Linked DNA regions of Ovis aries. The protein of the gene in region 1 purifies or fractionates together with the protein of each later gene. This does not show direct contact. Links are inferred from orthologs where the notes say so. Each region holds a gene or a part of one and is shown on either strand. Other genes may lie near its edges.

Evidence for each region.
Region 2: the proteins of GDI2 (region 1) and RAB24 purify together in Homo sapiens (affinity purification with mass spectrometry; 3 studies listed by BioGRID and IntAct, with this or other methods). This does not show direct contact. The link is inferred for Ovis aries from reciprocal best matches to the Homo sapiens genes GDI2 and RAB24.

What each region holds. Positions count from the first base shown.
Region 1 is NC_056066.1:42,499,550-42,503,108, reverse strand, and holds part of GDI2 (rab GDP dissociation inhibitor beta), read right to left. Parts: intron 3,005-3,559; coding exon 2,806-3,004; intron 2,545-2,805; coding exon 2,413-2,544; intron 1,264-2,412; exon of another isoform or gene 166-1,263; coding exon of another isoform or gene 1-165. Other genes in the region: choline transporter-like protein 2, read left to right, coding at 1-165. UniProt on the Homo sapiens protein: GDP-dissociation inhibitor preventing the GDP to GTP exchange of most Rab proteins. By keeping these small GTPases in their inactive GDP-bound form regulates intracellular membrane trafficking.
Region 2 is NC_056058.1:36,477,096-36,481,421, reverse strand, and holds the start of RAB24 (ras-related protein Rab-24), read left to right. Parts: upstream 1-1,479; 5' UTR 1,480-1,887; coding exon 1,888-2,004; intron 2,005-2,087; coding exon 2,088-2,156; intron 2,157-2,363; coding exon 2,364-2,442; intron 2,443-2,549; coding exon 2,550-2,617; intron 2,618-2,706; coding exon 2,707-2,806; intron 2,807-3,004; coding exon 3,005-3,055; intron 3,056-3,193; coding exon 3,194-3,256; intron 3,257-3,358; coding exon 3,359-3,423; 3' UTR 3,424-4,326. Other genes in the region: PRELID1 (PRELI domain-containing protein 1, mitochondrial), read right to left, coding at 285-510, 1,096-1,187.

The DNA.
Region 1 (3,559 bases):
ATCGCCCATGGCTTCTTCAGTGTCTACGGCATGTGCGTGGACACACTTTTCCTCTGTTTCTTGGAGGACTTGGAGAGGAAAGATGGGACGCCCGAGAGGCCTTACTTCATGTCTCTCACCCTCAAGATCTTGAACAAGACCAACAAGAGGCAGGCGGAGGCCTAGAGGCCCTGCCCCCACCCTCCCTGGAACTTTCGTGATGTGTGCTGGGCAGCTGGGTCAGAACCCTCAGCCCATCGGGCTGACCTGAAGTCCTATCACTGCCGCCCCCTTCCTGCCCCACCCATCATCCAGTTACCACCAGGGAACCTGCAGGATTTGGGGCATCACCTCCCTATGCCAAGGGCCAGTCGCAGTTTTCTGGGCACCTCCCCCCCTCACTATTTCACCCCCCACCAGCCAGGATGAGAATCCAGGTGGGGCTTCTTATTATCCAACATGTGGGGCCTCTGTGGGCTGCCCTGTGGTTCCTGCCCCCTCTTACGACAGGACAGTATTTGTGTCTGCAACAGCGGTGGCTGCAACAAGGCCACTGTAACCTGCATCTGCTCTGGCCAGGATGCCAGAACCCTTTCTCCAGGCTGAACAACTGGCTACTGGCCACTGCAGGCATTTCTTTATTTTTAAACCTGGACATGCATTAAAGGGTCTCTTAGCTTTTTCTCTGTCTTCACGGCTGAGATGGGGCCGCTAAAGAATGCTTATGTCCCCTCCTTGGGTGTTGCTGTGTGTACCCAGGTAGGGGTGTCTCCTGGCCAGGGAGGCAGCAGCTGGGGTGTCGATGGGGTGGAGAAGAGGGAGGTAGGTTGTGGGGGCAGGGAGGCTGGGGGTAGGCTGGTGGGGAGGAGGTTGGTAATAGCGGCAAAAATGGAAACTGGCTGGCTGGCTGAGTCGGGCCGAATTTCCCCTTTTCTCTGCCACTTATTGACACACCTCTCTTTGTAAGAGACATAAGAAACTGAATCCACCCAAGGGATGATTTCGAAGAAAGGGGGGATGGGGGTAGATGCCTTGGGCAAATGGGCACCCCCCACCCCCAGTCTCCTCGCTTTGAGGATCTTTTGCCAAATGTGTTGAATTCAGGGGAACTGGTGTACCCGTTCTCCCTTCGCCATATCTCAAGGCCCCCCATATCGATATGTGATCTGGAGAAGCCCCAACCTGGGGTTTCTGTCTCCTGTGCCTACCTGCCCCCCTCCCCCATTCTGTCCACACACCCCTATGTGTAACTGCATTCCAACCACTAATAAAGTGCCTATTGTACAGTGGAAAAAAAAAAAAATCAAGCCTCCAAAAGTTCAAGATGAATGGTCAATAATTTAACTGCAAACTCAAAACAAAATCACTCAATCGCAGAAAGAATCCAGCATCTCTACAATGTATACCAATCAGTATGTGCAATATGCATGGTATAAAATATAATTTTATATAAAGATTACTAAATGCAGGGAAAAAAGAAAAGCGATCAAAACAGATGCCCAAATTACTGATGTTAAAACATGCGGGGAGTTAAATGCAGCTACTATAAAAATGTACAGAACAAATATGCTTGTTCAAAGATCTATGCTCAAAAATATTACATATTCATGAGTCAAAATTAACAAACAGAAAACCTCACCATAAAAATGAAAACTATATTTTAAACATGGGAATTCTAGATCTATTGAAAAAACTTAAAAAAATTTTAAAACTCACTGAATGTGATTAACAGCTAATCGGAAATAACAAAATGTGCACAACAAATGAACACATCACAAAATTTCACAAAACAAGCTCATGAAAAGGTGATCAACATCAGTCCTCAGAAAATGCAAATTAAAATTATAAAAAGATAGCATTTCACACCTGCTGGAAAAGACTGACAATAGTGAATGCTGGCAGGGGTGTGGAGCAACCGAAACTCTCACACCGCTAAGTGTAAGCAGAATGCTACGACCCCTCTGGAAAGTTGTTAAGCAATGTCTCATCAGATGAAACATACACATGCCATTCTCGACCAGCAGCTCCACACCTGGACATGGATGTACCCAGAAGAAGTGGCAACTCAGCTCCATACACACTGTTACACAGAAGTTCATAGTAGTTTCATTCGTAACACCCCAGAACTTTTTGAAAGCTACTTAGATGTCCATCGACAGGACAGTGTGACATATTCACACAATTCACATAGTGGAATACTACTCAGTATTTTTTAAACAACTACCAGCACATGCATCAATACGGATGAATCTCAAAAATACTGTTAAGCAAAAGTGAGCACATATTCCTTTCATATAAACTAAAAGGAGACAAAAGTGATCCTTGGTGATAAAAATTACAAATGCAGCTGTTACAGTGGGGGTTGGGTGACTGTGCGGAGATGCAGCTCAGGATCAGAGGGGTTTCAGGACAAGGTTAAAGATGGGCTCTCACCGTGCAAATCCCTGTGGCAGTTCTCCAAGGCCGTAGAGTGGATAAAGGTATGGGCTTTTGCCGTATCTTGCCAAAGACTCGCTGTAAAGTTTAATCCTATTAATGGTTTCACAACATGGCTGATCTAAATAGCTAGACAAAAGGAAATGAACGTTAGAAAGCACTCTGGCTTGCATTCTTCTGCTCAATTTAAAATCGTTTTCTGAAAGGATTTCAATTCCACACTTCCATATTTTACTTATAAGGCTCTAACACGAAACTGAAGTTAGAAACTTCTTTTTCACAGTATAACATAGCTATGTATTTGTTTTGTTAGAATTTCCACTCTGCAGAATTGGGAAATTCAGTGACAATTTCAAGAAAAAATATAAATCTAAAAACCAGAAGACTTACTCATCAGTTCTGTAAAGTGCCAGGGCATGACCAGTAAAATCTATAACATCTTGGCCCAAGTCAAATTTCTTATACACCTCTCGCATTGATGTCTTCTTAGGATCAATGCCCTCAAAAGTTCGAGGATCGTTCTCATCAAAGTTGGCGACATATACCAGGAATTTTCTGAATCGACGTTTTTCAAACAGCCCCATTAGGCCTAAAAAAGAATTTTTCAAAAAGACACACTCGCAACAGGACACTGAGGAAAAGTAAGTGTGAGAACAAAGTCTAAATATCCCATGTTTCTATCTTAGGCTCTTACAATGCAATGTGCAATTTAAAATACAGGAGTTTTAAAATAAATGAAATTTCTTTCTTAACCATTTCTTTAAAATAAACTGACAGTTTCGTAACACTTTGAAATACACTGTCGTAATTATTTAGTCCCTAAACTGTGTCCGACTCTTCTGTGACCCCACTGACTGTAGCCCCCGGGCTCCTCTGTCCATGGGATTCTTCAGGAAAGAATACTGGAGTGGGTAGCCATTTCCTCCTCCAAGGAATCTTCCCGACCCAGGGATAGAACTACAGTCTCCTACACTGGTGGGTGGATTCTTTACCACTGAGACAACCGGGCTTCCCATAAATAAAACAGATCAGCTATTAAGTCTTCAATTCTACAATACAATTACAAGTAATTATGACCCATAATTAATTAAATATAACAAGTTTAATTATATTAGGTACAAATACAACTTTGAAAAACTATTAC
Region 2 (4,326 bases), on another chromosome or scaffold:
TGTGGCCTAACCCATACTGGTGCCAGGCACACTGTGAGTGCCCTGCATTTAGCACTTACAAGTGGAACACAGGTATTCCTCCTCCACTGTATGAACGAGTTAGAAGACAGGCCTAGAGAAAGTAACCGCCTGGAAAGACCATCCAAGTTTGTACTCTAGAGCTATCACTCTTCAGATCTGCTTGATCTGAAGCTCCTAGCCCCTCACAGAAGCTCCCTCATGGTTCCCTAGCCACATGTATCCAGAGCGCTCTAGTTCCGGGGGGGACGTGAGAGGGGTCTCACCATCAGCCGGGCGTGGTTGATGTTCCAGGTGAAGGTGGTCATGGTCTGGTTTTGTGGGTCCACAATAGAATCCTCCAGGATGTACACTGAGTGAGCAACATTGGCAGGAAACAGTCGCTCAGCCCAGCGGGGCATCCTGTTCGTCTTGGTCAGGAGTCGGCGGGACAGGAGCTTCTGGTCAGAGGTCACCTCTCGGTGCACTATGTCTTCCGTCAAGACATGCTTGCTGCAGGTGTCAGGGTGAAGGTGACCCTCAGGAGCCTGACCCTGGGAGACTGCCTGCTGAGGTTCCCATCTGGAGCCTCCACGCTCAGAATGGCCAGGCCTTTTCCCAAACTTTCAGAGTAAGCTGTGGTTGTGGCTCAGACCTGAACTGGAGCCTTTGAGCCTCTCCCAGGGCAAATTCCAACTCCCGCCCCCTCGCTGACCTGGATTCCTGGGCATTCCAGCAGGGGTGGACCTCCTGATTTACTGCACCACTGGAGAGCAGTCAAGGGCAGAGAAGCAGGCAAGCGCCCAGACTTCCAACCCCAAGATCCCTCCCCAATTCCTGTGCTGCTTCCTCTTCCTGTCTCACCACACTGAGATGAGAGAACCTTAAGACTAGGGCTTCAAGTAATCCACTGCCCAGGCCCAGCCTCCTTCCAGTACCCTGTAGGCCTAGTCTGGCCGCTTACCCGATAGGGTTCTTCTGCCCTAAACATGGCCAGGCTCTGGAGATCCCCCGACTCAAAGTCGAGTCTTTCCCGGCCCCCAGACTCCGATCTCCAAAGAGCGAGGTAGGAGGGTTGCTCTTCCCAGGGCCACGTACCTATAGGGATTCGGGTACCGCTGCCAGAAGGCAGCGAACACTTGGTCCCAGGAACTCCGGAGCACGCTCTGGCCCAGGAAATACTTCACCATCGTCCCGGCCGGGGCGGGCTCAGCGCCCGAGCAGCATCAGGGGTGCGGAGCCCGAGGGGCACGCGGAGGCCGGGCTGGAGCTCGACGCTCAGCCGCCAGGCTAGCAGCAGGTCAGTCGCTACAGCGCCGCACCCGACCAGCCACCGCCGCCGCCGCCGCCATGAGGAATTATCGGGCCGCGCGCCACTTCCGGCTCAGCAGTGAAGTACCCACCTCTTCCGGTGCCTGCCCACGTGACCCGACGACCCCGCCCCCACACTCTCCTTCCCCCTACACCCCTCTCCCCTTCCCCGGCCCCGCCACCGCTGGAGTCGCGGCGCTGCGGGCCGGAGCTGGGTTGGAGGATCCCCCTGGCTCGGTGGGGAATCTGTGCCGGCGCGGCCTCTAAGCTAGGTGGGCGAGCGAGCGGCAGAGCGAGCTAGCAAGTCGGGCGGCGGCGTGCGGCGCCGTTAAGGGCGCTGCCCCGCGCGCTCCCAGGCCGCCCCGGGTCCCAGGCTCTTAGGAGGAGAATTCCTGGGCCCGAAAAGCGGGGGCGGACGGAGGCGTTGTCATCGCTCAAGCTCGTTGCGGCGTGTGGAACCTTAGGTTGGCGCCTGGGGTCGGGGACTGAGGTTAAGGGCGCTGCCTGTCGGAGCGGAGATCCGGGTTTGCCTCGCGCCCCCGCTCAGGACCCTGACGCGGGTGAGGCGGCCCCGGGAGCATGAGCGGGCAGCGCGTGGACGTCAAGGTGGTGATGTTGGGCAAGGAGTACGTGGGCAAGACGAGCCTGGTGGAGCGATACGTGCACGACCGCTTCCTAGTGGGGCCTTATCAGAATGTGAGTGCTCCCGACGGGGCCCAGCACGGGTGGGAGGGGGCTAGCCGACACGCGAGGCTCTGATCGCTTCCCCTTGGTTGCAGACCATTGGGGCCGCCTTCGTAGCCAAGGTGATGTCTGTCGGAGACCGGACGGTGACTTTGGGTATTTGGGTAAGTTCTCTGGGCACGTAATCTGGGAAAACCCACTCTTGAGGAGGCGTAGTTCCTGCCTTGTACTGACTTGTGGGCTCACGGGGGTTTCTGTTCTCTAGACCCCAGTTTAAAAACAGGGGTCTGGAGGACGTGATATTAGTTTGAAGTCGTGGGGAGTATACCTTCGTAACTCAGGCCAGGGCTGAGCCTCCCCCTGCCCTTCAGGACACAGCAGGCTCTGAGCGCTATGAGGCCATGAGCCGAATCTACTATCGGGGCGCCAAGGCTGCCATCGTCTGCTATGGTAAGAAGAGTTTTGGCCTGTTGCTCAGACAAGAAGGGGAGGGTGCCAGGCTGGCCTTATAGAACAGCCCCTCACCCTTGGTTGTGTTTCCTGTGTTCCACACCAAGACCTGACAGACAGCAGCAGCTTTGAACGGGCAAAGTTCTGGGTGAAGGAACTGCGCAACCTAGAGGAGGTAGGTGGCCTGACCTCACCAGAAAACCAGGCAGGGGCTGGCGGTCTGGTGGTCCAAGGGAAGTGACCCTGACCTGTCTTCTGCTCCAGGGCTGTCAGATCTACTTGTGTGGCACCAAGAGTGACCTGCTGGAGGAGGACAGGCGGCGGCGACGAGTGGACTTCCACGACGTTCAGGACTATGCAGACAGTAGCTGCTCCTTAGCTCCTTGGGTTGGGGAAGGAAGGGGCTGCTTGGGTGGGTCACAGAAAATAGGGGCTGCCTTGGCAAGATCCCCCACAGGAAGACTTTCTCTGGCCTCCCTGCATCTTTCAGAAGAGTCCCTGTACGGCTAGTCTGTGCCCACCTAATTCTCAGGTATGAGGCTTTAGTCTTTTCTCTTTACAGATATCAAAGCTCAGCTCTTTGAAACATCCAGCAAGACAGGCCAGAGTGTGGGTGAGTGCTGTCCTTGGCCTCACAGCAGAACACACAGGGGCAACAAAGGAGGCAGAGGAAAGCCCAGAGGGCTGGGTTACTATGGGATCCCTGGGCTCCTAGCATCTGGTCCTCACTAATCACCCTTTTTCCTGCCAGACGAGCTCTTCCAGAAAGTGGCCGAGGATTACGTCAGTGTGGCCGCCTTCCAGGTGATGACAGGTGTGTCCTTCCTTAGCTCCTGTGGAGACTCCCTTCAGGCCCACAGCACCTGACCCCCACCCCCCGGAAAGTATGTTGAGCTACCACCTCTCTCTTTAACAGAGGACAAGGGCGTGGACCTGGGCCAGAAGGCAAACCCCTACTTCTACAGCTGCTGTCATCACTGAGTCACCACTCACTTGGCCTGGGGGGGGATTCCCCCAGGGAGTCTGGACCTAGCTCTTGTCTGGGCTTGGATGATCAAACATCTGAGCTACCTGGGTCCCAGTGGCAGCAGAGGTGGCACCTGCCTGTGCTGGCCCATGGAGCGGAGACAGCATTGGGGCTGACTGATGGGCACAAAGAGGGTAAGGGCTGATTTGGACCCCAGGCTTCTGCCCTGGACAGCAGTTGTGTCTACAGATTATTTAAATGGCTTCTGATTTGTAAATAAAATCAATGCACTGTGAATTACACTCAACCCCTTTCCCTGCTGTCTGGATTGGGTGTCAGGACACCTAGGACTTTCTGGGGCCACCTGGTTGGCCTCACTTCCTATAATCAGTGTTCTTCTCAGGTCTTATTTTCCTTTGGAAACCAAGTGGCTTCACCCTAGGGTTGCAGCTGAGATAATGGAGAAGCAAAAGGGCCCTTGCTGGGTTCTTTGGTGGGGGCAGAGATAGGGTGAAAAGCTGGGGTTGGGGCAGTGCAAAGCTCAAATGGTTCCTTCTTGGTGTTAAGAACTGGAAAGGCACTCAGGTGGTACCAGAGATCAAAAGGTCAAGCATTTCTGCCTCGGACTGGCTGGCTCTACTGCACCTCTGTCACGTCTAGGTCTGTGAGTCATCCCTGTGGCTCAGAGCCTAAGCTTCCCAGCAGCATTCTATAATGTGGCTTAATAGTAGACAAATTACAGGTTCTGCAAGACTTAGAAAGGTCTTAGAGATCCAGATTGGGCTCTAACTACCCAGAAAAGGGACTCAAACTTGGCTGTGTTCTCCTTTTAAAATGAGGTGACTAGTACCTAGTTCAAGACTATGAAGAGTATGGTTGGAATGTTAACTGTAGGACTAAATGCTTGTTTTCCCCTA